Diceros bicornis minor: one gene and its partners. The protein of the gene in region 3 purifies or fractionates together with the protein of the main gene of each other region. This does not show direct contact. Links are inferred from orthologs where the notes say so. Each region holds a gene or a part of one and is shown on either strand. Other genes may lie near its edges.

The links.
Region 1: the proteins of ZNHIT2 (region 3) and TSSC4 purify together in Homo sapiens (affinity purification with mass spectrometry; 3 studies listed by BioGRID and IntAct, counting the BioPlex papers as one, with this or other methods). This does not show direct contact. The link is inferred for Diceros bicornis minor from reciprocal best matches to the Homo sapiens genes ZNHIT2 and TSSC4.
Region 2: the proteins of ZNHIT2 (region 3) and ECD purify together in Homo sapiens (affinity purification with mass spectrometry; 3 studies listed by BioGRID and IntAct, counting the BioPlex papers as one, with this or other methods). This does not show direct contact. The link is inferred for Diceros bicornis minor from reciprocal best matches to the Homo sapiens genes ZNHIT2 and ECD.
Region 4: the proteins of ZNHIT2 (region 3) and AAR2 purify together in Homo sapiens (affinity purification with mass spectrometry; 3 studies listed by BioGRID and IntAct, counting the BioPlex papers as one, with this or other methods). This does not show direct contact. The link is inferred for Diceros bicornis minor from reciprocal best matches to the Homo sapiens genes ZNHIT2 and AAR2.

What each region holds. Positions count from the first base shown.
Region 1 is NC_080770.1:2,325,169-2,333,019, reverse strand, and holds the start of TSSC4 (U5 small nuclear ribonucleoprotein TSSC4), read left to right. Parts: upstream 1-4,850; 5' UTR 4,851-4,976; intron 4,977-5,029; exon of another isoform or gene 5,030-5,672; intron 5,673-6,397; 5' UTR 6,398-6,550; intron 6,551-6,714; 5' UTR 6,715-6,736; coding exon 6,737-7,699; 3' UTR 7,700-7,851. Other genes in the region: CD81 antigen, read left to right, coding at 1-14, 891-965, 1,261-1,389, 1,860-1,961, 2,481-2,567, 2,650-2,712. UniProt on the Homo sapiens protein: Protein associated with the U5 snRNP, during its maturation and its post-splicing recycling and which is required for spliceosomal tri-snRNP complex assembly in the nucleus.
Region 2 is NC_080745.1:33,360,116-33,367,861, reverse strand, and holds the start of ECD (protein ecdysoneless homolog), read right to left. Parts: upstream 3,013-7,746; 5' UTR 2,668-3,012; exon of another isoform or gene 2,609-2,667; intron 2,524-2,608; exon of another isoform or gene 2,366-2,523; intron 1,552-2,365; 5' UTR 1,539-1,551; coding exon 1,334-1,538; intron 1-1,333. Other genes in the region: primary cilium assembly protein FAM149B1, read left to right, coding at 3,256-3,302, 7,627-7,731. UniProt on the Homo sapiens protein: Regulator of p53/TP53 stability and function. Inhibits MDM2-mediated degradation of p53/TP53 possibly by cooperating in part with TXNIP. May be involved transcriptional regulation. In vitro has intrinsic transactivation activity enhanced by EP300.
Region 3 is NC_080770.1:8,036,752-8,044,036, forward strand, and holds ZNHIT2 (zinc finger HIT domain-containing protein 2), read left to right. Parts: upstream 1-4,377; 5' UTR 4,378-5,549; coding exon 5,550-6,746; 3' UTR 6,747-6,784; downstream 6,785-7,285. Other genes in the region: MRPL49 (large ribosomal subunit protein mL49), read right to left, coding at 1-108, 1,137-1,214; FAU (ubiquitin-like FUBI-ribosomal protein eS30 fusion protein), read left to right, coding at 1,752-1,826, 1,921-2,065, 2,469-2,524, 2,673-2,798; delta(14)-sterol reductase TM7SF2, read right to left, coding at 7,169-7,285. UniProt on the Homo sapiens protein: May act as a bridging factor mediating the interaction between the R2TP/Prefoldin-like (R2TP/PFDL) complex and U5 small nuclear ribonucleoprotein (U5 snRNP).
Region 4 is NC_080758.1:23,635,431-23,643,309, reverse strand, and holds the start of AAR2 (protein AAR2 homolog), read left to right. Parts: upstream 1-4,869; 5' UTR 4,870-4,912; intron 4,913-4,918; exon of another isoform or gene 4,919-5,140; intron 5,141-5,152; exon of another isoform or gene 5,153-5,231; intron 5,232-7,586; 5' UTR 7,587-7,638; coding exon 7,639-7,879. UniProt on the Homo sapiens protein: Component of the U5 snRNP complex that is required for spliceosome assembly and for pre-mRNA splicing.

The DNA of each region.
Region 1 (7,851 bases), about 5.7 Mb from region 3:
GCCTGCTGGGGACGGTGAGGTCCTGGGCCAGGGGGGTGCTATGTCCAGCTCGCCTAGCAGTGGGGGGGCTGCAGGGCTGATGCTGACGGCAGAACCCGGAGCTCCGGGGAGGCAGCACGTGGTCAGCCTAGACTGGCCTGCGATGTGGAGCTCGGGCGCCTCCCCTCGCCTGTCTGGCCCTGGAGGAGGGTTTACAGGCAGCCTGACGACCTTCCCCAGAATGCCAGCTCCCTGGTTTCCCTGTTTGGGTCTTAAATTGCATCACGGTTGATTGCCCTTATGTCTAGTTCCTAAGTTCCAAAGTTGCTTTTTTTCTTTCTTTCTTTAAAGAAAAACCCACAGATATAATAGGAGCGAGTCCCAGTCTCATGGCCAATCTCAGGTGTCCCAGGGCATGTGGGAAGCTGAGGCCTGGCTGTGGTGTCCAGGGTCTAGCCGGTCCAGGAGGCATGGGCTGTGGGAGCCTGTGCCAGTGTCTCCAGTGGGGGAAACTGAGGCACACCACGACGACCCCTTTTCCATGGGGAGAGGAGAGGAAGAAATGGGGCAAGGAAAGGGGTACTGGCGGCCCAAGCCTCCTTGGGGGCTGTGCCACCCTGCATTTCCCAACCCACCCAGCCCCTACCCTTGTCCTCTTCCTCCAGCCGCCCCTGGTCCTGCGGGGACAATGAGAACACTGGCCTCCTGCTGCTGGGGCCAAATCTTAGGCTCCATACAGCTCTTCCCCGGTCAGGACGTGGGTGGGTGGGTACCGCCAACCACCCCACACACACCTGTTGCTCAGTCGGGCATGTCACCTGTGGAAGGCGAGCCCCAAGCTGCCACGCCAGTCAGGGCCTCAGGAAGCCCTGGCCGTGCCTGCTCTGAACCCCCCCTCTACCCTGACCCAGTTCTTCACCTGTCTGGTGATCCTGTTTGCCTGCGAAGTGGCTGCCGGCATCTGGGGCTTTGTCAACAAGGACCAGGTGAGCCTGAGTCCATAGGGGAGGGCCAGTCCCAGCCCGGAGGGGCGGCGGGGGGGAGCACCTGCTGCTCAGGCTGTGGGAGACGGGTCGGGTTGCGGGGTGCTCTCTGGGACTGGCCTGGGAGGGAGACCACAGAGGGCTTTCTGGAGGCGGTGGCATGGAGGCAGGGCTGCCCGACTCCCAGCTTCTGGGTTGCAGCTGGGCTGTCCTGGAAGTGATACCTTCTGGGAGAGTCAGGTGAACGCTGTCTCTGGGGATGGTCCCCGCTGTGCATGTGACCCCACCCCTCCCCCAGATCGCCAAGGACGTGAAGCAGTTCTACGACCAGGCCTTGCAGCAGGCCGTGACACTCAGCAAAAGCGACAGCGACAGCGACAACGCCAAGGCCAAGGCCAAGGCTGTGGTGAAGACTTTCCACGAGACGGTGCGGGAGATGGGGGGAGGCGGGGAAGGGGTCGAGGGGGACCAGGGGAGGCCAGGTGGATGAAGGTGTTTGTCCCCTCAGTTGAGGCCCAGCTAGGCCTCAGCCCAGACCTCCGGAGCAGAAGGGACACTTGAGACCTGGCAGCCCTCTCCTTGAGGGCTGTGGGGCCGTCTGCGAGCCCTGTGGGGGCTTCTCTGGGACCTGTGGGTCCCTGGTGGGAACGAGACAGTTCAGGCCGGCTGGGGTTCATGGGTCTCTGAGCAGCACAGCTGAGTGAGAGGCAGGGAAGGAGGGGGCGCCTGGGTTTGGTGCTCCCCCTGGAGGGGACTATCCCACCCCCGCAGCACCATGCCAGGCCGGGGCAGCTGCTGGGGCCCCTGCAGCCTGTGGGATGCCTATCCTCGTGCATCTCCCCTTGCGTCATCTTGCCCGCGCCCAGGACTGACCGTGGGCATGCTTGCTCTCTGCAGCTCAACTGCTGTGGCTCCAGCACGCCATTCGCAACGACCACCCCTGGGTTCAGGAACGACCTGTGTCCCTCGGGCGGCAAGGTTATACCCAACTTATTCAAGGTGTGGGTGGTGGGTGGGACCTCCCAGGGGCTGGGTGGGGCTGGGCCTGCCTGCTCCCCCACTTCGCTGCCACCCTCCCCTCTCAGTGGGTCCTGGGTGGTGGGTGGGCCACAGCTACACAGCGGCACTGTGGCTAGAGTCAGGGCTGTTCTGCCTGTGGGGCTGGGCCAAGGCTGAGTTTGTACTGACGGCCCATAGCGGGGCGACTGTGCCCTGGGTTCCCAGTGGGGGAGCTCTCCTCCTCCGCTAGCTCTACCCGTACCCGAGCAGGCATGGAGGGCGCCCTGACCGCTGGGTCAACGCCCATCAATGCCCAGTGATCTCTGAGTGGAACAGGGAGCACACAGCCCGTCCCTCGGTTCCACATTTGGTTTAAAATGGAGAGACTGGGTGTTGTTCACACCTCTTCTGAGGGGCAGGGGCCGTGCCCCTCCATGCTCTTTCTACAATGATCCGGCTGCTGCAGTCCGGGGGTCCTGCGGACCAGTGCCCCTGACCGCCTGTGGCCATCCCCCACAGGAAGATTGCCACAAGAAGATCGATGAGCTCTTCTCGGGGAAGCTGTACCTCATCGGCATTGCCGCCATCGTAGTGGCAGTGATCATGGTGAGCGGGCAGGTGGGGCGTCTGCTCAGAGCCCTCCACGGGTCTGTGGGTGCTGACCAGCTTGCCCGCCCCCTCCCCGCAGATCTTCGAGATGATCCTGAGCATGGTGCTCTGCTGTGGCATCCGGAACAGCTCCGTGTACTGAGGCTCCGGCCACTCGGGCCGCAGGCCAGGCCGGTGGGACCCCTGCGGCATCCCCAGGGCGACCCGGACACTTCTGCAGAGGGCCTCTCACCACCTGTGTATATAACTTTTCTGGTATTATTACTCTGCTGCACTTATTAGTCTTTTTACTTTTGAGGTTTTGTTTTGGTCCTGAAGTTCCCCATTACCTTCTGGGGTTGATGTCACCTGTAGGTGGTATGTGACTGGACCCTGGGGACTGCAGGGCAGGGGCCCCCTCTGCCCCTGGGGCCGCCTGGGGGCTCTGCCTGCTCAGCCAGCCCTCTCCAGGGGACCTCGCGGGCCTTCTGGTGGAGCTGCATCCTCCCACCCACCTGTCCCCATAGGCTGCAGGGCTCAGGCCGTTTTTAATCCATGTTCCTCTCCTGCCACCTGTCTCTAGAGCGGGGTCTACGAGCGGCCTTATGCCTTTAATGCACCTCTCCTTTCTAACGTGTCACCTTCAACTGTAATTACATCTTGAAAGTCATTCAATAAAGAAAGAAAAACCAGGCATGCTCACAAACTGTCCAGCCCCTTCCTGTGCCTGCATCGTCCAAGACCCAGGGGGTGGCCGGAGGGGAAGGGGAGCCTGGCACGCATGGGGCTTAGCTCTGTGGACCTTGCTGGGCCCAGGGTGTGCTGCCAACTCTGTTGGTGGGTGAAGACAGACCCCCCCCCCCCCAGGACAGCCCCCTTTCTTGGGCCCTGTGCCACCTGCAGCAGTCTCCAGCCAACCTCTCCCCTACTCCTCCTGCTGCACCACTGCCTGGAAGGAGCAGGGGGGACAGGGCGGCCAGAGAATGCGGTGCAGCAGATGTTTGAGGTGGGGGGCCTGCAAGACTCTCCTGACGGAGGGCTCTGTGGAGGCTGGACGCCTGGCCCCGGCCCTGTCCCTCCCCGTCTAGGTGCCTCTAAATGTTCTGTTGAGGAGCTGGGTGGCTCAGGGCTTAAGCCCCATCGTGCAGGCGCTGGATCAGAGGGCCTCTACGACTGCCTGCGGGAGCCCACCTGGCCCACCACGGTGGACTGAGGTCTAGCTGCCTCTTGGATCTGGCTGCTGCCCCGTCTGGAAGGCTGGGTGACATCACTGTGAGCTATAGGCAGGCACGGACCTGCGTGTGTGTTAAAATTGACCCCTTGAGGCCACAAAGGCCTGGCTGGGATTCATGTCGCGGGCACCCGGCCGCCTCCCTGGGGGCAGATTTTGGAAACGAACCCCAGACCTGCGCTGGGGGTCGGGGGGGAGGGTCTCAGCGGGCCTGCCGCTCTCACCATACCCCTCCACCGAGCTTGCCGGGTCGGGTCGGCCAGAAGGACGGGATGGTCGAAGAGCCCCCTTTTTACCCGGGGATGTCCTGGCCAGGGCTTAGGTGTCTGTCACCTGTAAGCTGCGATGTGACACTACACAATTAGTGCGGGGGGGGGAAATGGGGAGTCCCGAGGCTGCACAGGAACGGGCCCCGTTTCCTCTCCGGGTCCCTGGACTCCGGGGATGCAGCCCTGGGAGAGGCCGAGGTCCGGCCGTCCAGCAGGCGGGAGCCGAGGCGCCTGGACTCGGGCACGGCGCGGCCCAGCGGGGAAGGGGCGGGTGGCGGCCGCTGGGCCCGGGGACGAGGGACAAGCGCCTGTCCAGGGAGCCGGGGCCTGTCCTCCGCTCCCGGGCGGAAGAGACCAGCTGGACCATCAGCCATCGGCAAGCAGGCTAGCCCGACCATGACCCCCTCGGCGGCTGCGACGAGCACTCTACCTGAGGCGCGGCCTGCTCCTAGGACCTACGACGAGCGCGATCAGCCGCTTCCGGCCAGGACCGGAAGTGCCCGGGAACAACGCTGCGCGTGATGATGCACTTCCGGCCTGAGGGACTACTGTTCTCGGGCCTTCCGGCAGGTGGCGCTGAGGCCCAAGGAAACCGGCGCCAGCAGTTAGCCCTCGAGCATTCTGGGAGTCGCAGTCCCTTCTCCTCCCTTCCCTCCTCTCCCTAATCAATTCCGGGCTCTTGGGGAAGGAGTTCCGACGTTTCCGGGGAGGGGAGGTCAGGGAGAGAAGCGAGGGCGCATGCGCAAGGACTACACGTCCCGACAGGCCTCGGGAGTAGCGGTCCAGTGCCTTGTGGGAGATGTAGTTCTTCAGGCGCGGAAGCCTTGGCGCTCGGCCGGCGGAGGACTCGGTTTCCCAGAGATCCGAGCGCGGCGCAGGATGGAGGCGGTGCAAGATGGAGATGGCCGGGCGGGCCACCGTGAGCTGGTAGGTTTGTGGTGAGGTAGGACGGCGGCGCAGGCCGGTTGGGTCTCGCAGGCTGCTGCCCCGAGCCCTGAGACCCCAACGTGCTCTTTGTTCCTCATGTCTCGCGGCCTGGCCGTCGGGCCCCCGTGCCTCGTGAGGCCCGGACACTTCCTCACCCAGCCCGACTGGGTCCCCAAGACCCAGGCCTCGGCACGAGAGCCTGCTGGGCGCGAGTGCAGGAAGTCACGGCTCTGCCTCCGACGGGGAGAGAACCGGCAAGGAGGCCAGTGGTCCCGCTCCCGGGGACCCCCGACCCCTCAGCCCGGACTCGGCTCTGCCTTCTCTGAGCTCCCGCAGTTCCCAGAGAGCTCCCAGAGACAGGCTCCCGTCTGCCCCGAGCGCCCCGCTGGTCAGGCGTCTTGTCGTAGGCGCGGCGGCGTCCCCGGCGGTGCAGGGGACGGGAGTGCGGATTTGGGGAGCCGGGGTCTGCTCGGAACTCCAGCCGTGCGTGCGACGTGCTGTGTGACGGGCAGATTATCTGTCCCCCCGGCCCTGCCTGCTCTGGAACCCCCCGGTGGGGTGTGCTCCTCTCCTTGTTCTCTCTTTTAGTCGTTCCCTCGTTTGGGAGTCATGCCGCAGAGGAATGGAGATCTCGCCCGTGTCTGACCTGGTGCGGGGCTCTCGGGGCCGCTCCTGCTCCGCCTGGCCAGGTCTTCAGTGGGAGCAGGAGCAATGGGTCACCCTGGGCTAGGGAGGCTTCTCCGGGGAAGGGGAGTTGGTGGACGGATGGGTGAGGCTGGGCTGCCTCTGAACCTGGAAACAAAGCTGCGGGTGCCTGGTCACACTCGGACACTCGAGTGTCCTCAGCAGTTCTCTGCTCAGCTGGGGAAGGTGGGGGTGTGTAGCGAGTTAGAGGAGAAATGCTCTAGGGGCCGCGGGGGCTTGCCTCTGCCCAGCGAGGCTGCTCCAGGTGATCACTGACACCCAGTTCCCTGAGAGCTTTGACCCTCAGGTGCCCAGGACCTGGCTGCAGACCCCTCTGAGCTCTCAGAGCAACTCCAGCAATCAGGAGCAAACCTGCTCCCCACAGACAGGGCAAAGTGCTCCAGTCTTGGTGGAGTACTTCCTGGGTGCCTCGCGCTGTGCTGAGCAGTTTATGAATGACCCTCCTTGGTCAAGAGTGGTAGTGTCAAGCAGAGGCTGCTCTCATCTCGGGGTTCAAGCCCTGGCTGGCCGCCTGCTACTAGAATTCCCCGTCCCCCAGCAGGCCCCTAGTTGTCAAGTTAGGCTTAGCTCGAGAGAATTGAATGAGGTGACATGACAGAGGGCCTGCTCCTGGACCTGGCCTGTATGGGGGCTCCGGAAACCCGGGTCCACTCCCGGGGTTGTGGCACCACTTCTGCACGCTCACTGTGGTCTGATGGCTGGCTTTCCTTCCCCAGTCTCAGCCGCCTACAGTTGAGCCGCAGCTGAACAGAGCTGTGCCGGGGGACTTCTGGGACTGAGGCCACCACGCCTTTGCCGCCACGGACCTTTGGCAGCGCTCCTCCCACCAGCACTCCAGTGTCAGCACAGGCACCCAGAAGACAAGGGAGGTGAGGAGGGCTCTTGGGGAGTGGAGAGGGACTGTCCCTTCCTTTGTAGGACACAGTTCTTTCTGCTGATCCTGCTGCCTGCTGGGTGCAGTAGGTCTGCAGGAGGAGTTTGTTCTAAATGCGTGCTGTTCTCAGAAACTGTTTGCTGGGCTGTTTTGGTCTAGGTGTGGCGTGGCCTTGGGACACATGGCTGAGGCAGAGGCAGGCGAGGCCTCTCTTGGCTTGGACGTCGAGCAGGGGACAGAGTATAACACCCTGCCTTCCGACACCGTCTCCCTTAGCGACTCAGACTCCGACGTCAGCCTACCGAGCGGTGCTGATGTGGAAGCTCTGTCCCCAGAGGGGCTTCCTGGGGAGGCCCAGGGGGATTCAGACCCCGATGAGTCCCCCTCATCCCCCAGGGGCTTCCCCACAGTTGAGGTGCAGGCGTTCCACCTGAGAGGCACGAGCACCACCTTCTCTCAGCGCAGCCACAACATCTTCGACTGCCTGGAGGGGGCAGCCAGGCGGGCTCTGCCCTCTGTGCCCCAAACTGGCATGGGTGACAATGGGGGCTTCAAGCGGCCCCGGCTGCCCTCAAGCCAGCCTCCAGCAGAGGGCCTAGGCAGGCCTGTCCCTGACTACGTGGCCCATCCCGAGCGTTGGACCAAGTACAGCCTGGAAGACGTGGCCGAGGCCAGCGAGCAGAGCAACCGGGCCGCCGCCATGGCCTTCCTGGGCTCCCAGAGCCTGGCTGCCCCCAGCAACTACGTGCCCTCCTTCAACCAGGATCCCTCCAGCTGCGGGGAGGGAAGAGTCATCTTCACCAAACCGGCCCGAGCTGGCGAGGCCAGACCTGAAAGGAAGAGGGTCCTGAGGAAGGCGGGAGAGCGGGGCAGGGGTGCCCCTGGGAACCCAGCAGTGGTGGGGGGTGAGGGTCCTGTGGAGCTGGCCCACCTGGCTGGGCCTGGGAGCCCGGAGGCTGAGGAGTGGAGCAGCCCCTGTGGGGTCCTGCAGGAGGTGGACACGCCAGAGGGGGCCGCCCACACCGGGTCAGCAGCAGGGTCCCCAGTGGTGGAGACTGTTGGCTTCCACGGCAGCAGGAAGCGGAGTAGAGACCACTTCCGGAACAAGGGCAGCAGCCCCGAGGCCTCGGGTGCTGAGGTCTGAGAGGAGAGACTGCCCAGCCAGCCTTCCCCAACCAGGCTGCCCGTGGGCTGGTGTTGGAGGGGCTGCCGGGGGCCACTGCCCACATAGGGTGGCTTTAGGGGCAGGTGCCGCGGGCCCCGTCCCCACTCCTTTGGGAAGGGAGCTGACGGGCT
Region 2 (7,746 bases), on a different chromosome or scaffold from region 3:
TCCCCATCGTAGATCTCCCAAGTGTTTTCAACTAGAGAAGCTCCAAAAGAGTGTCTATTTTTATCTACCTTATATATTAAACTTCAATTTGAACTTCATCCAGAAGCAATGGGGAATAGTTGAAGGATATTAGGCAGGAGAGTGACAAGATGAAATTCAAGTTTTACAAAGAAACTGGCAACAGTGTGAGAAACTGGAGACAATGGAACCGGAAAGGTTAGTTAGGTAGCTACTTTAGTCTTTCAGATGAAGAGATAAAGAGGGCCTACACTATAGCCAAACAGATGTAGAGAAGGGTGCATATTTTAGGAGTAATCATACTAGGATTTAGTGCCTGACTGAACATGGTGAAGTGAAGAGTTGAGTATGATTTTGAATTACTAACAAGCTTGGATAACTAGATGGATAGCAATGCCATTAAGCAAGATGAGAAAACACTGGATAAAAATGATTTTCTAGAAAAAAGATAAGGAGTTGGTTTTGGATGTGCTGTGCTAACATGACAGTGTTCTTGCCAATAAATATCACATATGTTTCAGTGAACAGGAGCTCGATAAAATTAAATTAATTAGTAGGGAACACATTTGGCAACTGCTAGCGAAGAGATAACAGATAAGAGCTAGATTGAGAGCCAGACTGATCGTATCACAAGATGTGACTCCTGAACTGAAACAAGACCCCCACATAAGTCACTGCATGAGTAGAGCCTTGATCACCTATCCATGATTCATTTTGGTAAAACTATAAGAAATGATAGGACAAAGTGCCATATTTGGCCAGAGGTCAGATCTCAAGCACCAACAACACAGGGAAGCAGTGAAGAAACCTCAAAATGCTTCTGAATGACAAATAATGGTAATAAAGACCAATTATTTCTCTTTATAAGCAAGGCAGAGCCACTCGTAGATCCCCACCAAAACAACAAGGCAGCCTACTAAATACATTACCAAGAGTGAGGAATACAGAGTAACAGCTAAAGGAACTATGGTTAAGGAAGCCAGATGCCTGAACCTGTTTAGTCTATATACCTAGATACACTATGGCATAGCAAAACAATTAAAGTCCAAAAGAAAAGCCATGTTTTAATAATGTTGAGTAGATATAATTTCCTAAGGCAATGACTATTAGAAAATTTTCATCAATATGAATTAAAAAGAATTTTTTTTTACGTTTAAGGGATTAACCGAATATAGGCAAACATCACTAACCTAAAAAGTTCAGGATATAAATCTCCTGACAACACTGAATGAACTATAGACTATTATACATCACTGTTGTCAGAATGACATTGAAAGTCATACATATCAAATCAAAACAAGTAAAAGAGCCTTACCTTTCTCAGGTTTATATTTGAGATTGAAAGGCTGATTCTGCCAGATATAGGGGACCAGCATAGGCGCAAACTGGGTCATTATCCTCTCAATATATTTTTGAAGAATCTCTTTGTGTTTTTCTGGGTCTCTTGGTTCATCTGGTATCAGGAATAGGCAGTACTCCACAGAGTCTTCCACTGTAGCAAGCTTCTTATTTTCCTCCATTCTTCTTTGAAAACTACATTTAAAGTTTCAATAATATAAACCCTATAGAATAATGTAGAAGTAATATCCCATTCCCTGAACTATTCTAGTCAATTCCATTGTTTTTCAATATTCAGTTATCCACATACCATCATCATGATTTTTGCCTTGACCACGTACCAACTATATTAACATTTATTTAATATTATTTTAATGACATTTTTATACTTAAAATAATATTCTTTATACTTAAAATTATGTTAAAGGAACTTTTGATATAATACTGTGAATGGAAATCCAGTATCATATTCCCAATTAACTAATAAGTAAGAATAAAATTTAAAATGTTTGCCCTTGTACTAGCAGTGGTGTAACACATTTTGAGAAACACTGCAATAACATCATTTGTTTAAATACTATCAAAAGTCCCAGTTCTGAGTTGTGTCACTTTGGGCATTTCACTTTCTCTTTCTGGTGCTTTTGCCTTAATTGTGGAATGAGAGTGTTACTCTATCATCTCTAAAATCCTTCCCCAGTTAAAATTTTTATTATTTAAACGCTCTTAAGAGCAATCTCCCTTACTCTGCAGAATTCCAATCTCTGCCTTTTACAAACATTGCATGGCACAGAGGAACTCAAAACTACAAAACATTCATATCCTATCATCTCACTCCAAAATAATCTGCCATGATTCTGTTACCGGACAACAGTTCTAGATCCTATAAGTATCTGTCCTAAATTTATCTCCTTTTCAGGTCTCAGGGGGTATAGCTCTGGTATATTAAAAGGTGGTAGATATCTCTTTATTTTCTAAGGGTTTCCCTTACAAAAAAAAAGTACTAGCTTACTCTTGCTGCCAGATGAGCCTTGGCAAAGAAAGGCCCTGCACTGGATGGTCCACTGTAAGGCAGCAATCCCATTTTGATGCTTACTCGGTTTTCTAACGGACTAATACAACGAGGTCGAGAAGAACCTGCATCTTCTATGTAGACACTCACTCACCACAGTCTGTCCAAATCATCATTTGGCCTTTCAAACCAGAAGGACAAACAATAATTCTACCCACCCGCACCCCATAATGCCAAGCGCACCCTATTATGAAGAACTTAGTGTCAGAACTGGAAGGGACTTTGAGATCACCCAGGCTTACTCCTCACTGTACAGATGAGAAAACCAGGAGCACAGAAAGAGAAGCCACCGAGCAGCAGAGGCCTGACTTGGAGTCGAGCGCTCTTTACTCAGACTAGGCTCCCTCCTTCCTTCGGACAAAGTGAAGCCGATCCGCTTACAGTTCTAGGGCCTCTCCGGCACGTCTCTGCGGCGGCACTTTTCCTCAGCGCCCCTCACACCGCGTGAGCTGGTCGGTAGCCGCCAAAGCCTGACCCAGGCTGGGGCCAAACACCCGTCTGGGACCTGAGGCCAGCGGAAGCTCGGACAGAAAGTCAGAACCCCGCTGAGCCCCGGAACGCCCGGCGTCTTCACCGCTGAGCGTCGGCGGGAGCATTAGGCGGGTGCCGCAGTGCCTTCGTCACTTCCTCCCCCGTGGGGAAGCTAGGAGGGCGGAGCACTTGGAGAGGTGGGGACTGTGGGTTGGTGGCGATCGGGAGTCTAGGCGACGGGGCGTGACGGGGCCGGAAGGTGGCGGGAGGGGGCCGGGCCGGAGCCGGCGGGAGGGCCAGGCCCGGTGGCCCCCACCCTGGCGTGCCCGCCCCGGCCGCGGCTGAGGAGGAAGAGGAGGATGATCTCCAGATACACTCGGAAGGCGGTGCCCCAGAGTTTGGAGCTGTGAGTGGACCACTCAGCTACCCCAGCTGGGGCCAGGGCAGGCCAAGGCAGACCGCAGGCGCTCTGGGGACCCTCTCTGATCAGTCCCTCGCTCTTTTCCTTTCCCAGAGCGGGGGAAAGAAAATTTTCTTCGGAATTCTCTCCTTCCAGCTCCTTCTACCTCCCCTTCTATCTGCCCCTTCTACCTCCATGTCTAGGAGGGCGTGTCACTTGTGTTATCCCAGGACTTGGCCCTCTTGGGCTGCACTTCCTGAACCGAGGGACTGGGTCTCCTAAGGCATTTGTAGTTACCGCAGTGCTTCATGCCCCATTGTCAATGGCCATTGAAGACTCGAGAAGTTATTAATAGCTGACTGAGTGCTATCATAAAGTTGAATTGATCTAGTGCCGGGCACCAAGCAAAGCTGCTTACGTGCGTTAGCTCACTTAATGCTCTCCACAGGATACCAGATAGGGACTATTATTTTGCACATTCTACAGATAAAGATCTCAGATTTAAAGATTGTAGCATGCCAAAGATTACACGGTCAGAAAGTGGCGGAGCTGAAGTACAAACCTGATGTCAATCTGATTCTGAAGGCTGTGGTCGTAACCATTACACTACTGCCTCCCCACCTCTGCAGTTAAGCATCAGAATCCTTAAGGATCAGTTTTGGTTTTGAGATTTTAGAAAGCAAAAGCCTGTGGTCATAATCGTTACACATACTGCCTCCCCATCTCTGCAATCAAGCGTCAGAATTCTTAAGGATCAGTTTTGCTTTTGAGATTTTAGAAATTTTAGAGAGGTGGCTTCAAGCCCCACCTTCTACCCCTAGTGAGGTGTTGTAATTTAGCAAGTAATGATAATGTATATATTTATTAATGCTTTACACTTTCAAAAAGACCTACACATCTTGATTCTTCTAACAATGCTGTAAGATGGGTATGATTATCTTGTTTTTCAGAAAATGAAGTATCAGAAAGGTTACACATTTTAAGATTATATAACCAGTAGGTTTTTGGACTTTTTAATCCCAAATCTCTATTTTTTTCCTCCACTGAGCTATGTAATTTTAGCAACCATGCATTTATTAATTAAATATTAACTATAATGGTAATAATAAGCATGGTATTTTCAGTCACATTTGGGTTTCTGGCTAGGCTCTTTTCTAGCCATGTGACTTTTAGGCAGATTGCTAAATCTTTGAGCCTTCATTTCTGTAATACAGAAATAAGACCTTATTTAAAAGCATATCTAAAGTGATAGCACAGGGCTTGACACATAGTAGGTCCTCAGCAAACAGTAATTTCCTTGTCTTTTCCCACCTTTACTTGGTACAATAGCCATACAAAGAAAATCAGTCTACGATCTCTCCTTGCCTTTCAGAAGCTTGTTATCTACTAAGTAACAGGACATCTACACAGTAGCAATTCAGTTAGTAGGCTTTTGAGGAACCAGGAAGAAGCAAGTTATTTCCCAACAAAGGGAACAAGGCTTAGCTAAAAATCTGCTTTTATAATTAATGCTGAGAGTAAAAAAAAGTTTTTCATGGAAAAAAATGGTTGATAGGCACTTATTGGGCCAGAATTATTGACCCAGTGTGGTTATGTTACTTGTTCTCTATTGTTGATGTGATACTCCCTAAAGATAACTCTCCCAAAAGATGATTCTCTAAATGAGTCAGGATGATGTGAATAATGAAGATAATGAAGATTATATGCATCTAAATGACAGTTAATTAAAAGCAATTTTTACTTTAGGTGTTAATAATGATAATTTGCTTTGAAGAAGTAACTTAGTTTTCTCCCTAATGGTTTCAAATTATAGATATTGAAGAGTTTGGAAAAAAGTGATTTTCAACATACAGCTTAATATTTTTTAATGATAAATTTCAAACATAAATGTATGGTGAATAATATAATGAACCACCCATCACCCACATTCAACAGTTATCAAAATTTTAATATATTTGCTTCATCTATAATCTTTGTGTTTTATTCAGCCTCTCTGTCTGCCATTTGTGAAATAAGGAAGCAAAATCCCAGGCATATCATTTCACCCCTGTATACTTCATTAGGCACCTAGAAATTATAGACATTTTCTTATGTAACCATGATGCTGTGATCAAATTTAATATTTCTTTGGTATTATCTAATTGTCACGTCACGATCAGATTTCTCTGACAGACTAAATCTGCCTTAAGTTTCTATTTTGCAGCTGGAATCCACATTTCTAATCCTCACTATTGTCTCAAAGACAAGCTTTTGGTTGTAGGATCATTAAATGAGAGAAGTACAAATAGCTTACAAATCCATCCCCACCATTTGAGAATAATTTAAAGTAACAAGCTCAGGGCTGGCCCCGTGGCTTAGCGGTTAAGTGCACCCGCTCCACTGCTGGCGGCCCGGGGTTCGGATGCCGGGTTCCCACCGATGCACCACTTCTCCGGCCATGCTGAGGCCACGTCCCACATACAGCAACTAGAAGAATGTGCAACTATGACATACAACTATCTACTGGGGCTTTGGGGGGGGGAAATAAATAAATAAATAAATAAAATTATAAAGTAACAAGCCCAGCTGGGTTAAAGTAACAAGCTGGCTGGGCCTTTAGCTTTATCTTTATACAAAAACTGGTACAATTCACTGAAATCTCAAACTACTCATTTGCCCTGAGAGCCCTCAGAGCCAGACTACGTGGATTTGAATCCTAGCTCCATTACTTACTAAGCCATATGACCTTAAGCAGGTTACTTAATCCTTCTGTGCCTCACTTTTCTTTCCTGTGAAATAAGAGTATTAGAGATTTATAATATACATTTGCATATTAAAGGCCCTGGGAAAACTTCTTGTAAAGAAACCTGTGTAACTTTGTTTAACCTATCATGTTTCCTAAATTTATTTGCCTACAGAATTTTGTGGGGAAGGAAAGAAAGGGCTACTGTAGATGATTAGGATTGGAACATATAATAGTTGACTCCATAGTTTATTCTAGTGCACACGTTGAACTCTCTAGAGCAGCACTGTCCAATAGAAATATAATACAAGCCACATGTAATTTTAAATTTTCAGGTAGTCACATTAAAAAAAATAGTAGAAACAGGTGAAATTAATATTTTTAACTTTTTATTTGAAATAATTATAGACTCACAGGAAGTTAACAGAAATAGTACATAGAGTCCCATGAACCCTTCACCCAGCTTTCCCCACTGATGACAACTTATGTAGCTAAAGTAAAATTTCAAAGCCAAAAAACTGACATTGATACAATACTTTTAACTAGACTATAAACCTTATTCAGTTTTTACCAGTTTTCATATCCGCTCCTTTGTGTGTGGACGTGTGTACATAGTTCTGTGCAATTTGGTCTCATTTATAGATTTGTGTAACCACCGGTACACCAAGATAGAGAGCTGTTTCATCACCACCAAGGAACATCCTTGTATAACCCTCACATCCACTCCTTTCTCCATCTTCCTGGTAACCAGTAATCTTTTCTCTACCTCTGTAGTTTTGTCATTTGTGAATGTTATATAAATGGAATCATATAGTATGTAACTTTTTGAGATTAGGTTTTTTCACTAACCATGATGCCCTTGAAATCCATCCAAGTTGTTGCATGTATCAATAGTTCATTCCTTTTTATTGCTGAATCATATTCCATTGTGTGGATATACCAGAATTTAACCATTCACCCGTCAAAGGACATTTCAGTTGTTTCCAATTTTTTCAATTATAAATCTGCTGTAAACATTTGTGTACAGATTTTTGTGTGAACATAAGTTTTATTTCTCTGGGATCAATGCCCAAGAGTGCAACAGCTAGGTCTTATGGTAAATGTATGTGTTTAGTTTTATAAGAAACTATGACACTATTCCAGAGTGGCTGCACCACTTTACATTCCCACCAGCAATGTATGAGACATTCAGTTTTTCCACGTCCTCACCTGCATTTAGTATCATCACTATAATTTATTTTAGCTATTCTAATAGGTGTGTTGTTATAACATTATATTTTCAATTTGCAATGACATTATTTTTAAGAATATATTTTGTTTAACCCAATATATTTAAAATATTATTTTAAGATGTAATCAAGATAAAATAATTAAGGATATATTGTACATTCTTGTTGTACTAAGACTTCAAAATCCTATGTGTTTTTCACTTCAAGTGAATCTCATTTCCAACTAACCACATTTTAACTGCTAGTGGCTAGTGACTACCGTGTTGGACAGTGTGGTTCCAGAGCAATAAGAAGTAGGTGACTAACTTGTAGATCAAGTTACTGAAAAGTATGTATTTTTTCTTTACAGGAAATATAACTTTGTTTTTATCTTTCACAGGAAAGGAATAACAAAACATGCTCTGAATCATCATCCCCTTCCAGAGCAGCTGGATGAAGTTTCCTCTGCCAATGACAGCCATGAAAAAGACACAAGTTCCCAAAGGTAATAACGTAAAGT
Region 3 (7,285 bases):
GGGAGGTAACAGGCGCTCCACAAACCGGTATTCATCCACAGACTCCACGAAACTGGGGTAATCGGGAGGCCCCTGGGTCTGGCTCTGAAGCAAAAACAAAACAACCGTCTCTCCATCAGCCCACCCACCACAGGGTAGGCAGAACTTTAGTAGGTAGAGAAAGGAAACATCACAGGTGGGGAGAATGGCATAAATAAAAGGCTGGAGGTGGGAAAGCACCAGGCTTCAGTTTGCCAGAGTGCAGGGTACAGGTGGAGTGGAAAAGAATTTGAGGCACTTTGAAGGGCCTGCCTCTCAGGATTTTCTTGGGACTCAAATAACAAGTGTGTGTATACTTCTGAAAAGCTGATTAACCGTTAAGTCTGACCAATGCAGCATTTTCCGGTATTTTAAAGTTTTCTCTGAACATTCCACTAAAATATTCTAGTTCTGGGCTAGGCACCTGTTGCAATCGTGATCATTTCCCACTCACACTCATCCGATGTGGCCCTCCCTTACCTGGAACGTTTCAGCCTCATATAGACACCACCAGGCACTGCACTAGTGCTCTACGAGTATCGTTTGCACTTAATTCTTATAACGCGACAAGTTATGTATTTTATTTTATACCCCCTTTTTACACCCAACAAAGATTAAAACGTCAATAAACAATCTAGCTAAGGTCACACTCCGAAGTCTGTCCTCCCATCCTCCAGCTTAAAAATCAGTCTTGGACACTTCTCCCCATAGATACTCCCGAGTCCTGGTGGGCCCCAGGCTTACAATGAGAACAGGGCAACAGGGTAAAGTGGCCTGTATATCATGGGCTCTAGGTTCCCAGGAGTGTCGCCAATGATCCAGGGCCGACTCCACCCTGTGGAACGGTTTCCCCTCCAAAAAAATTAGTCGATAAGCAGCCCCTCCCACTTCTGACTAACCTGGGATGTTCTCCAATCAGGTTCCACCCCCCACACTCCAGAGCGCGCTCCAGGCAATGCCACCATCCCTCTCAATCTTGCATCTGAGCTCCAGAAGAGCCCCCGATCAGACGAGAAAACTAAGCCCCCAAGTAGGGTCGCGGTTTTTAGGGTTACAAGGAATAACAGTGAGCCTCACACCCAGCCCTCTGCCCCCAGCTCCAGGTTCAGCGCTCTCACCAGCCGCCGTAGCCCGCAGCCCGGCTGGAGGCCGGTTCTCCAGCCCCGCAGAGCAGCCCGGAACATGGCCGCCGCCATCTTGAACTGCCCCCGTACACAAGCGTTCTGCGCGCGCAACCGACCTGGTCCCGCCCCTTCCTGCGCGCGCCGCCGGGACCGAAATGACGCCTGCGCGGAACGAAAGGAGGCGGAGCTAGAACGGTCGTGGGCGGTACAAAAATGAGAGGCTCTGGCGGTCGCTCGGCAGTGACGTAGCACGCAGCAGGCGGCGAGGACGTGCGCGCCCTCGCTCCTTCCTCTTTCTCGACTCCATCTTCGCGGTAGCGGCAGCGGTGGCCGAGGTTCAGGTAAGAGTTGGGCCACGGCTGGATCCGGAGAGCTTAATAGCAGGTTGGCCGCGAGATCAGAGAGCGCAGGAGAAATAGAGGAAGAGGGGCTGCCCTGTGGCCGGGCTCCCGTCCCCACCCGAGCTCCCTGGCAGGCCCGGCTTCGCCCACGTGAGACCCCGCGACCACCTATCTCCCGGAGCGACCGTCCCTAGCCCGCCACCCATTCCCCGGTCTCCTCTGTCCCAGAGCGTCTCTTTTACGAGTCTGTCTTTTCTCAGTCGCCGACATGCAGCTCTTTGTCCGCACCCAGGAGCTACACACCCTCGAGGTGACCGGCCAGGAGACGGTCGCCCAGATCAAGGTAGGGCTGCGTGGTGCTCCCTGGGCTCCATCCGCCCGTGTTCTTCAACTTCGGCCCCCGCAGGAACGCTCATGAGCCTCATTTTTCTCTGCAGGCTCATGTAGCCTCGTTGGAGGGTATCGCTCCAGAAGATCAAGTTTTGCTCCTGGCAGGCACGCCCCTAGAGGATGAGGCTACTCTGGGCCAGTGTGGGGTGGAGGCTCTGACCACTCTGGAAGTAGCCGGCCGCATGCTTGGAGGTGAGTTGGTGAGGACTGTCTTTAAACTGCTCGTAATCACTTAATGGGTGTGGGGTGTGGCGTTCGGTGGCCTCAATTTGGGGTGGTTCTTCTTGTTTACCTCCCTCCAGATGAACTTTTGAGACGTCCATGGGAGACTGAGCCGGAGTATAGTTCTATTTCAGTCACTTACTAGAACCTTGACTGTTTCCCAGCTTTCTCACTAAAATTAGGTCAGAGCAGATCCTTAGCGTGCTCTTGAGTTCTTGTTGAAAGTCAGGGGCTGAAATATCCTGAAGTGAAACCCCAGAACGTACAGACTAGACATTCTTGGTCAGAAGTCAAATCTCTGCAACTTTGTTCTCATTCCCCGTTGGGCCCTTCCTGCTCGATAACCACTTGTTGGTCTCCTTTCTCACCACAGGTAAAGTCCATGGTTCCCTGGCCCGTGCTGGGAAAGTAAGAGGTCAGACTCCGAAGGTAAGTGACAGTGTTAGTGATGTCCTTTGGACTTTGTTTTAAAGATTTTTGGCCCTTGCCCTGTCTGCCTTCTCCCTCCCTGGAGGTAAGTCTGAGGGAAGGCTTAGAAGAGGTGAGCCAGGGTCTGATCAGCCCTCGCTTTTCCCAGGTGGCCAAACAGGAGAAAAAGAAGAAGAAGACAGGCCGGGCCAAGCGGCGGATGCAGTACAACCGGCGCTTTGTCAACGTTGTGCCCACCTTTGGCAAGAAGAAGGGCCCCAATGCCAACTCTTAAATTCTTTGTAATCCTGGCTTTCTCTAATAAAGCCACTTAGCCTAGTCGTCTCATTGTTTGATCTTCATTTGCAGAGAGAGAGATATGGCTTCTCGGGCTGCTGGTGTGTCCACTAGTGAGGCGTCTCTGGTTTCTTGGCAGTGTCAAGTTAGGAAGAGGCAGAGGCCCTTGGTCAGGGGTAGGGGGCGGGGTGAGGAGGGGTTGGTAAACTACAAGAAAAGGTTTCTGGTGAAAATGGGTAACCACAGATGCTAGCCCTTCAGAGGGAGAATTGGGGCAATTTCTGATTTCCAAATGACTTGATAATTCCCCCAAATCATTTTTGTTCTTTTTTTTTTTTTAAACAAGAGAGCAGGAATTGTGGGAGGTTTTATGGAGGCAGCAGTGGAGGGGAGGAGTTCAAGTAGATGTATCAGGGAACATCAGTCTGGCCTTTCCCTGGACCAGCTGTGGCCTTGATGGAGTCTAGGGCAGGGGGTCTGGTCTGCCCCAGCTGTGGAAAGCATTGCCTGATTACATTGGAACTGTGGCAGCCTTGTTAACCTAATAACAGCTGAGGTTGGTCAGTTGATTGAGTCAGTGTTCCCGGAAGTGGAGTTCACTGAGGCTGATTGAAGTTTCCCTCCTAGCAACACATGCATACTCCCTCATTCATTCTGCTAAGAGTTTTGAACCTGCTGGTTCTTGGGGTACAGCATGCCACGGGGTAAAGACCTTGGGCTCTGGACTTGGACTGCCTTGAGTTTGGATCCTTGCTCCATTTACTGTCTGGCTGACCTTGAATTAACTACTTATTTAATCTCTGCCGTAATCTCTTGAGTTGCCGTGAGGATTAAACGAAGGGTGTAAAGAACTTGGATTAGCACCTACCACGTAGTAAGTGTGCAAATATATTGGCTGTTTTTGTCTCTGTAGGGATCTTTTTAGAAAGATGTGGCCCTCTTTCTTCTAGGAGTTGAGATTCTTGTGGGGAAAATGAGAACACTAGTTACAAGTGGTACAGCCTCAAAGGAAGCAGTGCAGTAATGAAAGTCGGAGTGGGGGTGGACACACACCCTATGCTAGGGAAGGCCTCTGAAGATGGGATTGTAATCGAGCAAAAAGGGGCTCATTCTGCTTGCCACAATCTGGTGCCCATCAATTGCAAACAAGCCGGTGGTTGAGAAAGGAAAATTTATACGATTAGCTAGCATAATCGGAAGATGGCAGACTAGTGTCCTAAAGAACCATCTTAAAAGTGATACAGAATCTTGAGGCTGTTACATAGGAGAAATGGGCAGGGAAGGAGGAGGTTTAGGAATGTTGACCATCCAGTGTGACAAACTTCGTCACCTCAGTATCTCTTGTGTCATTCATGATGGGTACCAACGCAGAGTTTTTCTTTCTGGAGGTCATCATGTTCCTCGGCAACTTGGAGAAAAAAGTTACCATCTTATCACAGCTGGGAGATATATGTAAGCAAGAGTCACAGAACTAGATCATGTATTTTGCAAAAGGGAAAGGTGCTTAATCATCTAGGCTACGTGCAGGCCAGAGTGCATTCTTAGAAACTAGTGAGTCAGGGTCATAGTTAAATCTTGCTTCCTTTCCCTAAGATGGCTTCCCTCATGCTAACGTGAGATGTAGCTGTTACAGGAAGATCCTGCGGGGTCTTGGCAGACATGCAGAGAAGTTGGGGTTTGAGTCCAAGTGCAATGGAGGGTCACTAAGTGCAGGGAAGGGTTTTAAGCAAGGACCTGATGTGATCTGACTTGTGATCTAATACTTTGGCTGATTTTTTGGAGGGCTGGCAAGAAAGGAAACCAGTTAAGGTGGTGTCATCCAGTTGAGGGGCAAGTAGCTTAAACCACCAGTGGTAGTGGGGATGCAGACCTGAGGGTGGTCAAATCCATCCAGATCTTGGTAGGGAAATATATGATCCATATTGAGATGAGGTATTTTGAAAGCAAAACTGACTGTAGGTGGGGCTGAATGTGAGTTAAGTGAGGAACCAAAGAACCCAGAGCTTACTTTCAGGGGTGCCATGGACCAAGTCTTCACAGTGCTTGGCACGGTTTGTGGGTCACCCCCACTCTACCACAAACTAAGCTCCATTAGGATAGGGACTCCATCTCTTTTTGCTCCTGTGTTTTTGGCCCCTAGTTCGGAGTCTGCTCTTTAAAGTTGGATGAACGATAGGTTTGGAGGTGGAAATCAAACAGGAGCTCAGATACTTGTTAAATGCTGTCTTCTGAAAAGGGGAAATGCTCCCAACACACACACCCAGTCTAGGCTAGGTACTCCACCTTGGCCTTCTTCCACTCCCCTTTATTTGTCTGTGTCCCCCAGCAGAATGGCTGCCCCTGCAGCGCGGGGAGGCATCTCATCTCCTATGGACCTGGCACAATTAGTGGCCCAGGGTAGCTGCTTAGCAAAGATCCATTTCTGCCGAACCTATTTGTAGTGCCCAAAAGGCAACCACTAGGGGGCGAGCTGGCACTGGCGGAGCGCCCGCCCGACGCACTTTTCCTGCTTCTCTCACCGCGCGGGGCGGGGCTCTTACGTCACGAGCGGCTCCTGCGCCTGCCCGAGCGAGACTAGAGAGAGGGGTGGGGTCTGGCTTCCGAATGTGGACGGAAATTGCCGAGAGTCCTCGGGGTGCGTTGACTAAGCGCCCCCTCGGCCCCGCACAGGCGGAAGTACTCGAGGAGCGCCGGAAGCGCCGGGCGGGAATCCGTGTGCGTTCGGTGGCGGCCTGCGGCGCCAGTTGCCATGGAGCCGGCTGGGCCGTGCGGTTTCTGCCCGGCCGGGGAGGCCCAGCCCGCGCGCTACACCTGCCCGCGCTGTAACGTGCCCTACTGCTCGCTGCGGTGCTACCGGGCGCACGGCGCCTGCGCCGAGGACTTCTACCGAGACCAGGTGCTGGGAGAGCTCCGCGGCCGCAGCGCCTCGCCCAGCCGCTTGGCCGGCGCCCTCCGCCGGCTGCGTCAGCAACGCGAGACCGAGGACGAGCCCGAGGACGCAGGTCTCAGGCCGGGCCCGGCGCCCGGCGGCCTCTCGGGACTCTGGGAGCGGCTGACCCCGGCCGAGAAGGCGGCCTTCGAGCGGCTGCTGAGCCGGGGCGAGGCCGGGAGGCTGCTGCCCGCGTGGCGGCCGTGGTGGTGGGCGCACGGGGCCGGGCCGCGGCTTCTGGAGGAGCTGGACGATGTCCCCCGCGGGGAGGCCGCGGAGCTGGAGCTCCCACCCGCCCGGACGCCGCCAGAACCCGGGAAGGATGCTGCTGCCGCCGAGCCGCTTCTCGGAGACGCCCCGGGGACCGGCGCGCCCGCCGTGCCCACCCGGATCCCCGCGCTGGCCAGCCTGAGCCGCGGCCGGGCCTCGCCGCTCGTGCGCTTCCAGCTGCCCAACGTGCTGTTCGCTTATGCACACACTCTTGCCCTGTATCACGGCGGGGACGAGGCGCTGCTCTCCGACTTCTGTGCCACGCTGCTCGGCGTCTCCGGAGCCCTGGGCGCCCAGCAAGTCTTCGCCTCTGCCGAGGAGGCTCTGCAGGCCGCAGCCCACGTGCTGGAAGCAGGCGAGCATCCGCCCGGGCCCCTGGGCACAAGGGGTGCCATGCGCGAGGCCGCCCGCCTCCTGCTGGGCGAGGGCCCGGCCAATCAGAAGGCCTACACGCTGGCAGCACTGGGGCACCTGGCGCAGACCCTGGGCCGGGCCCGGAAACAGGCCGTGGCTACCGAAGAGCGAGATCGCCTCTACCGGGCCCGGAAGAAGTGCCAGTTCCTGCTGGCTTGGACCAACGAAAATGAGGCGGCCCTCACACCCCTGGCTCTAGACTGCACCAGGGCCCACCGAGCCCATGCTGTGGCCGCCGAGGAGGTGGCCGCCCTCACTGGGGAGCTGGAGCAGCTTTGGGGAGGCCCCCTGCCACCTGCTCCGAGGACTCTCATTGAGGAGCTCCCTGGCTGAACTGGGGACCCCTTGTCATTAATAAAGCTGTGACTGGTCTGCCTTGTCGGCATTGCCCATTTCTGAGTGACAGCTGTTGTCCCACCCACCCCCAGACTCCGGCCGCAAACCAGCTTTCAGCTTCTCCCTAATGAGGCCTGACCCAGCGACTTTTTAAACAGCCCAGAGAGGGAGAGAAGCGGCACCAAGGGTTCCAGATGTTTATCCAAGGAGGAAGAGCAGCCCATCCACTCCATTTTTAGGCACTGGCTTCATTTGCTCCTTGCCTCAAACTACCTCTCTGAGGCTGCTATCCCTGCCTGTTGGAGCTCGAGGCAGGGTAGGGTGCAGGCCCTTGGGTCGCAGGTGCGCCCCGGCTCCTGGTGCTGGGTGTGCTGGTGGGTGGGCGGGCACGTGCCCGACGTCGGGTGGGCGGAGCTGCGTCAGTAGACGTAGGGCACAATGCGGTAAGGCACACGCTTGCAGTATTCGTGCCAGGCCAGGCCGTATTTCTGCAGGCACTGCTGCTCATCCCGGGCCTCCCGGTGCACCAGCAGCGC
Region 4 (7,879 bases), on a different chromosome or scaffold from region 3:
AAGACCCTGGCAAAAGCTTGGCATTGACCTCTGGCACACATGGGCTTTCCCAGGCTTTCCTGCCACAAGCTGCTTCCCTGAGCTCGATGAGTCCTTTTCTAAGGGAGGATGGCCCCGCTGCACTTCAATTTCTCAGTCCCATCTCACTTGCCCAGTCCTGCTTCTAAAGCAGGCCATAAATTCATTCAACAGATATTTATTGGGTACCCACTTGTGGCAGTCACCATTCTTGAGCTGGAGAGAGGGGGAGGGGAGGGGAGGGACCAGGGAAGCTCCCTGAGCCAGCCTTACATCTCTTGTCACAACTGGCCCCTCTGAGAGCATTTCCTTATTCTCTCCAGTGTATCGGACATTGCCCAGGGATGCCTTCCAGAGGGTCCTGGTTTGCATATCAGTTACCCCGTCACATATATGCTTAGCTGCTTAGCTGGCTGACCTGAGGCAGGACAGGAAACCAGAAGAGTGTTTGCCTCTGTGTGCAAAATGGGATGGAGAGCGGGCAGAGAGAGCCCTGTGGCACAGTCAGCCACATCCTCCCTGGAGCAGGCTGGCAGCCCACTCCAACTCCCGCTGAGTGCCACAGCACACTTTCCATGCACCGGGCTCCTTTTACAGTCCTGGTAGAGAAGCCACAAAACCTCCTTCCTGCCCTTCTTCACTTGAGAGCTCCCATTCTTTCTGGGCCAAGAGCTGAAGTGGATCCAACCTCTCTGGCCCCCCCAAAATTTGTCTCAGGCACCCCTGTCTTTGCAGGAACCAGACATCCTGAGCACACTGGACACACTTCAGAGAGAGAATATTTGTTCTGAGTTCTGCACCTGCCTACAGACCCTGGTTATGTGGCCTCAGGGCAGGGATGCAGTGGCCAGGCTTAGCTTGTGGGGCAGGATTTGTGCAGCTCTCCATCCCACGGGTGCTCTGACCTTCCTTCCACGGAGAGGCAGGCAGTGCCACCAGGGAGGAGGGGAGCTGCAACTGAAATCTAGGGCACTGTTTCCTCCCCATACTCCTCTTCATAGAGAATATAGATGTTTGTCTTATCTGTCTTCAACCTACTTTTCCTTTTTACATTTCTCATCCTTTCTGTGCCGCCTCTCCACCCAGGAGACCATGTAGCATAGTGGAAAAATTCCTGGAGGGCAGTCAGGAATTCTGGGTGGCCATCCTGGCTCAGCCCCTAACACACCATATGACATTAGGCTAGTCCCGTACCCCTTTTGGGCCTCCGTTTCCCCACCTGCAAAATGAACAGGATAAACCGGATGCTCTCCAGGGTCTTTTTCCACTCTGCCATCCTGCAGATCTTCGTTTTCTCTCATTTTGCTTTCTCGGGATCTTTTCCATCTGAGGGTACAGGAAGTGCCAGGACCTGTTTCAGTTTTTGAATCCTGCAAGCACATTCCAAGACTGGTCTGAAATTGCATGAGCAACATCACTCTAAATAATTTTTTTTTCAAAAGCACCTTACCAACCAACTGCGATGCTGTCCTGTTCCTTTTTACTCACCCCCCTCTCTCCTGTCTGGTCCCCACGCTCCCCCACCTCAGTGCTCCGTGCTGTATGCGTGTGCTCTCTGTTCTTGTATACTCAATAAAAGTGAAATAAATGTGTTTGATGCTGAACCACAAACCGCCTTGGCTTCTTTCTCTGACCTTGGCTACCAGTACAAGTTTGCATTGTGAGAAGAGCTAAAACTGGGGTGGAGAGATCCCACCCTAGAACACTTTTATTCAACAAATATTTGCAGCTCCCGGTGTGGTCCACGTCTTGCGTTAGGCTTTGCAGGTACAACAGCAAATAAGACAAAGTCCTTCCCTGAACTTACAGGCTAATGGAGGAAACAGACAACAAAACAAGCAGGCAGTCAGAGGTAATTCCATGTGATCAGCACCAGAAAGGAAAGGCACAGGGGGAGGGCATGGTCACCAAGGAGACCACTTTAAATTAGGTGGCGGCTTATGGCCTCCTCGAGGAGGTGATTTTTGAGCTGATGCAGAGAAAGATCCAGTAAGATGGAGAACTTGGGTGAGAGCATTCTAGGCAGAAGGAACAGTGAGCCTGCAAGCCCCACACAGAGGAGCTTCGTGTGTGGAGGAACAACATGATCCCTCTTCCTGAAAGGAGAGCACCTACATTGGGGTGTCTTCCTACAGCCCCTCCATGGGAGCCTGGTGGCTAATGTATACAGCAATCCCCAACTTCAGCCTTTGCCTACCACCTTCACATATGTTGCCATATCCCTGTGCATGCCACCTGTCCCATTATTGACTTATCATTTTTCTTTAAATTGACTCTCCGTAAAACAAACTATTTAAAAAGGAAACTACCTTCCACAAATGGAAAACTAGTGTCACTTGCCAAAGAAAGGAGGTCTTCATAAAAATAAATGCAAAAATATTAAAATTAAAAACCCATAATCTACGTAAAACTTAAGCTCATCCCTTGGACTACCTGAGGTGTGTGTACTACACTTTCCTTTTTATTCTACTAAGCAACTCACCTTAGACCACCTTTCTTTTTTTTTTCTTAATTTTTTTTGTGAGGAAGATTAGCCCTGAGCTAACATCCATGCTAATCCTCCTCTGTTTGCTGAGGAAGACCAGCTCTGAGCTAACATCTATTGCCAATCCTCCTCTTTTTTTTCCCCCAAAGCCCCAGTAGATAGTTGTATGTCATAGCTGCACATCCTTCCAGTTGCTGTATGTGGGACGCGGCCTCAGCATGGCTGGAGAAGCGGTGCGTCGGTGCGCGCCCGGGATGCGAACCTGGGCCGCCAGTAGCGGAGCGCGTGCACTTAACCGCTAAGCCACAGGGCTGGCCCCTAGACCACCTTTCTTTATTGCCCAAAATCTTACATGTGAGAACCACTGCTAATAATGTGGTGCATTTTCTTCCATTCTTTTTCTACATATGTGTATTTTTTCAGAGGTGAAGTCACCTAGTATGTATCATTCTAAATACTTTTTTAAACTTAAATCCTGAGCGTTTCCCTATAATTTCAAATACTATGTCTTTTCTTTTTAAAGTTAATTCATTAAATGATACAAAATGCTGTGCAGTGAAAAGCCATTCTTCAACCCACTCCAGACTCCTGTCCATTGTCAGAGGCAATTGCTTCCTGGAGCTTTGTGATCCTTCCTTGAATTTTCCCTGTAGGTTTCCTTACATTGGGTACCCACACACCCTGGATCTGTATCTCCATCTCCCGTAAATACAGGGTCAGCCTTTGAGCTGTTTGGGAATAACCTAGGGCTGGTTCATCTAGATCAGTGGTTCTCAACTGGAGGATTTTGTCCCCCAGGGAACATTTAGCAATGTCTGGAGACATTTTTGGTTGTCTCAACTGAGAGGTGCTACTGGCATTTAGCAGGTAGAGGCCAGGAATGCTGCTAAACATCCTACAATGCACAGGGCAGCCCCCTACAACAAAGCATTACCAGGCCTCAAATGTCAATAGTACCAAGGTTGAGAAACCTAATCTGGATGGACATTCCACCCACAGGGTAGGGTTCCTGGGCCACTATCTATAGCTTCTGTGCTGTAGTCCCTAGTTTAGTGCCCTAGAGTCTCTGAGAAGATGGTGAGCCCAGCTGGAACACAGAGTTCTGAAACCAGACCACAGAGCTCAGCGCCTAAGAATGGGGAGGGGCGGAGAGGGAGCTGAGCTTCATGCAGGAAATGGAACTGACACAACAGGCTGAGACTGACACGCATGACTGTGACTAATGGAGGCCATCTCTGGTTAATCCTGCAGCAGCTCACTGTGATTAACCATGACTGCAGGGCTCAGTCTAGTCTGTAACCCACTAAGTGATGAATTTTGACAGAGACAGATTGGCGTGTCCAGCTGTCACTGAGGAAATGTGACAGACAAGCTAAGGAGCAGCAGCACAGGGGCAAGAACAGCCAGTCAGACCTTGGTTTGCATTCCAACTCCACCACTCTCTGCCTGTGTAACCTCACTGAACCTCAGTTTTCTCTTCTGTAGGTTGGGAATACTAATGCCTACTTATGAGGGTTAGTGTAAGGATTAAAAATCATATACCAGTGGCCTGCCCTATGGATTTTGGATTTACCTAGCCAGCACTCACAATCACGTAAGCCAATTCCTTGCAATAAATGTCCTATATATCTCCTGTTGGCTCTGCTTCTTTGGTTGAACCCTGACTAATACAACCACCCAGCACAGGGCTAGGCCCAAAAATAGAAGCCATTTATTGATACCAAATTACTGTCATTAATTAAATGCATAATATATACACTGAGCTGAGCCTTTGTGCCTGGCTTTGTGCTAGGTTCCAGGGAAACAGTGGAGAACAAGATAGACTTTCCTCCCTCCGGGTGCATTTGTAGCCTGACTGAGATAGTATACTAGGTCTGGGCTGCCAGAGGACCCTGTGATTATGGCTGGAGGGACCAATGTGGTGACTACTGCTGCTGAGTCTGGTTCTCTCTGGGCTGGGGGCTGGGTTTCAGAGACTCTCCCCTAGGGCTGAGCCAGGACCGGATGATAACAGGCCAGCTGTGATACCGTCACTCCGACAGAGACTGGCTGACCAGGACCATGACTGAGGGTCTGACTGTGGCTACTGGGCAGCCATGACCTTGACCCTGGCTTCAGTGACCATGACTGATTGAAACCAAAGAACCACTGCTGGTGGATGTGTTTCTGGAGGGGGATATAAAATGCATCATTTGATGAAAGTTGTTTTCCACGGTTCAGGAACTAAAACGAATAACTAAAAGTAGCAAAAGGCAACATTTGATGGGGCGGAACCTGCAGGCGCGGACCGTTCCTTCCGCGACCGAGAACTCTGCCGGGCTGCTTTCCTCGTGGCTCCGGTCCGGCGCCTAAGCGGTAGAACTTCCGGTGCGCTTCCGCGGAACCTGAGCGTGGGGAAGACCGAAGTCGGTGAGTGCTGCCTCCTGTCAACTTTTAACTCCTCTTCTTTCGTTGTCTGTGTGGCGCGGCCACCCCTCTTTCTGCTTCGGGATTACGGAGTGCCTCTGAGCTGGGGCACCTCGCCGGGACGGCCTCCTCCCGGTCTGTGGGCCGGTGCTGGGACCCTGGTGTCTGCAGGCCGTTCTCCTGAGAAACCGTCACCACGGACCGTCGCCGGGACTTCCAGGGGCACCCGGGGTAACTGCGCTTTCCTCCTAACTGTAGAACTTGGGGGCTGGAGACCTTGGCTCCGCCCGCCCTGGTTTTGTCCTACTCTCTGTAACTTCGGGTAAGGTCTTTCGACGAGCCGAGCCTTTGTTTCTCATCTACAAGATGGATGTCATGCTTTTATTATAGAAATGTTTATCAAGCGTCTAATATGTGCTGGAGATACAAAAGACTCAGTTCTCGTGGAGGTGACAGCCCTCTATTAAACATACGGAAAATCGCAGCCGTGCTGAGTGCAGTGGAAGGTGCAAGGCGCCCTGAGAGTGCGTCACAGGAGGCTTGAGCCAGCCTCAGGTCAAAGGAGCTTTACTGAGGAAGTGAATGTTGAGCTGAGATCGGAAAAATGATTTGACGCAGAGAGGAGGGAAGAGTTTTCTATCCAGAGCCTCCTGTTTGAGGGTGGGGAAGAGGCCAGTGTGGCTGCAACAGAGCGATTATTGGGGGGGAGCACTGTATGAGACAGGCTGGAGGAGTGGCCAGGGGACAGACCACATAGGCCTTGTAGGTCGTGGGAAGAATTTCGGTTTTCCAAGAGCCACATGGGAAGCCACTCAGAGGGTAATAGGTGCGGGTGGTGACATGCTTAGATTGGCACTTTGAAAAGGTAACTTTGGCTCTTGGAGAAGGGATTGGAGGGGGCAAGCACTCTCTGGCTGAGGGATATGGTAGCTTGGATTAAGGAGGTGGTGGACAGAGGTGGAGGAATGTGACTTTCTGCATTCCAGAGCATCTTCTCTGTGCCAGGCCACGTGCCAGCTGCTGAAGATACACTGAAGAGAATTATAGGCTGGTGGAATTAGAATGAAAGGAATGTCATTATCGAGGAGTAGCACACAGATGCTGCAAGAGAAAATAGCTAATTGATGAGCAGTTATTCTAAATGCAATAGCTGTTCATTTAGCAAATATTTATTAAGTACATTCTGAATTCAGAGTTGGAAGTAGGAAGATGATGATATAAATTATTTAGAGCAGTGGCTTTCAGACTTTTTTCACTGTGACCTACAGTAACAAATTTTACATCTTGACCAAGGATATGTACAAACACACAAAGCTTCAGAAAACAATACTTATCTTTACTATTCATGGTGTACTCTGATTTTTTATAATTCTGTTCTTTTCATTTAAAAAAATTATTGCTGGTTGAGACCCTCTAAATTGATTTCTTAACCCATGAACGAGTTGTGACTTGCAGTTTGAAAAGACAAAATTCTGATTTAGAGTGAGAGTCATTTGTAGTGGTTTTTGGGTTAAGATGATAAAATATGCCCTTAACATTTTTGGAAAAGGATTGGTCTTCCTTTCTTCACTTTTGTTTAGCATAAAAAGAGTAAAAAAGAATTAAACAGGCAGCTGGTTCTTCTGTTTGTGAAATTTGGGGTCTTGTTAGTATGTCTGGTTAGACTGGAAGTGCCTGGAGGGCAGTGACTGTCTTACTCTGGATGTTTCTTTTAGTGCCCGGCAAGGATCCTGGCACAGTGCAGGCACTCAGTGATTATTTGTTGAATTGAATAGGTAGGTGTCTTGGGACTAGAAGGTTAGATAATTGGTTTAAATTAGTTCATGTTGGAAGTATTCTTATAAATACACAGAGACAGTGTCTGCCTGCCTACAGAAGTTTTATCAGTATGTCCTCATGGGTAGTTCAGAAGTAGATAAAATAGGTGTTCTAAGCTCTTTCTCTTCCAAATACTGATCCTAGGCCAGCCACGCCACCTGAATCCCTTCTGGGCGAGTGGACCAAAACTGCCACTGACTGTGGGCCCTTTCGGAAGTCGTTTCACTTCCTAGACTTTAGCTTTTTTATAAGTAATAGAATAAAGAGGGTGTTGTAGTTGAATAGCTCTCCACTGCCCAAACCTTTTGTGAATTTTAAGTAGAAAGCACCCACTTTCTACCTTCTGTCTATTTCTGGGCTTTGCCTGAGGCTTGTGAGAAACTGGGTGTGTGCTTGATTGAATCATCTTTCTCAGCTCTTCTGGGACTCTCCAGCAATAGGTTTTAGGCAGAGTTATGGTTTAGAATGGATCATCCAGGCTTTCTCCACCTTCTTCCTCTGTTGTGAGAGAGAGATCTGAGAGTAGATCCTGCGTGGACAGTGGAAAGAACACTGGCCTGGAGGGCCAGGTACTCAGGTTCTAATTTGGGTCCTTCTGTGACCTTGAGCATGTCACTTCTTTAACTGATGTCTTTTTAGCTATGAAGTGAGTGTTCGTGCCCATTAAACCAAAACACAAAAATCCTCTTTTCTTTGAGTCTCAGTTTCCTTATCTGTGAAACAGATGCAAGGTTGTGGTGAGGATTAAGGGAGATAATTATGTCAGGAGTCTAATTCAATATCTGGCGTATAGAGAATGCTCAGCCAGTGAAACATCCTTCCCCAAGTTCTGATTAACTCTGATTTATTTCTTTTTCAGCTGTTTTGGAAGTCAAGAAAAGTTCTCCAAAAGGTCACCCGCCACTGGTCCCATGGCTGCCATGCAGATGGATCCTGAGCTTGCCAAGCGCCTTTTCTTTGAAGGGGCCACTGTGGTCATCCTGAATATGCCCAAGGGGACAGAGTTTGGCATTGACTACAACTCCTGGGAGGTGGGGCCGAAGTTCCGGGGCGTGAAAATGATCCCACCAGGCATCCACTTCCTCCACTACAGCTCTGTGGACAAGGCCAATCCCAGGGAGGTGGGCCCTCGTATGGGTTTCTTCCTTAGCC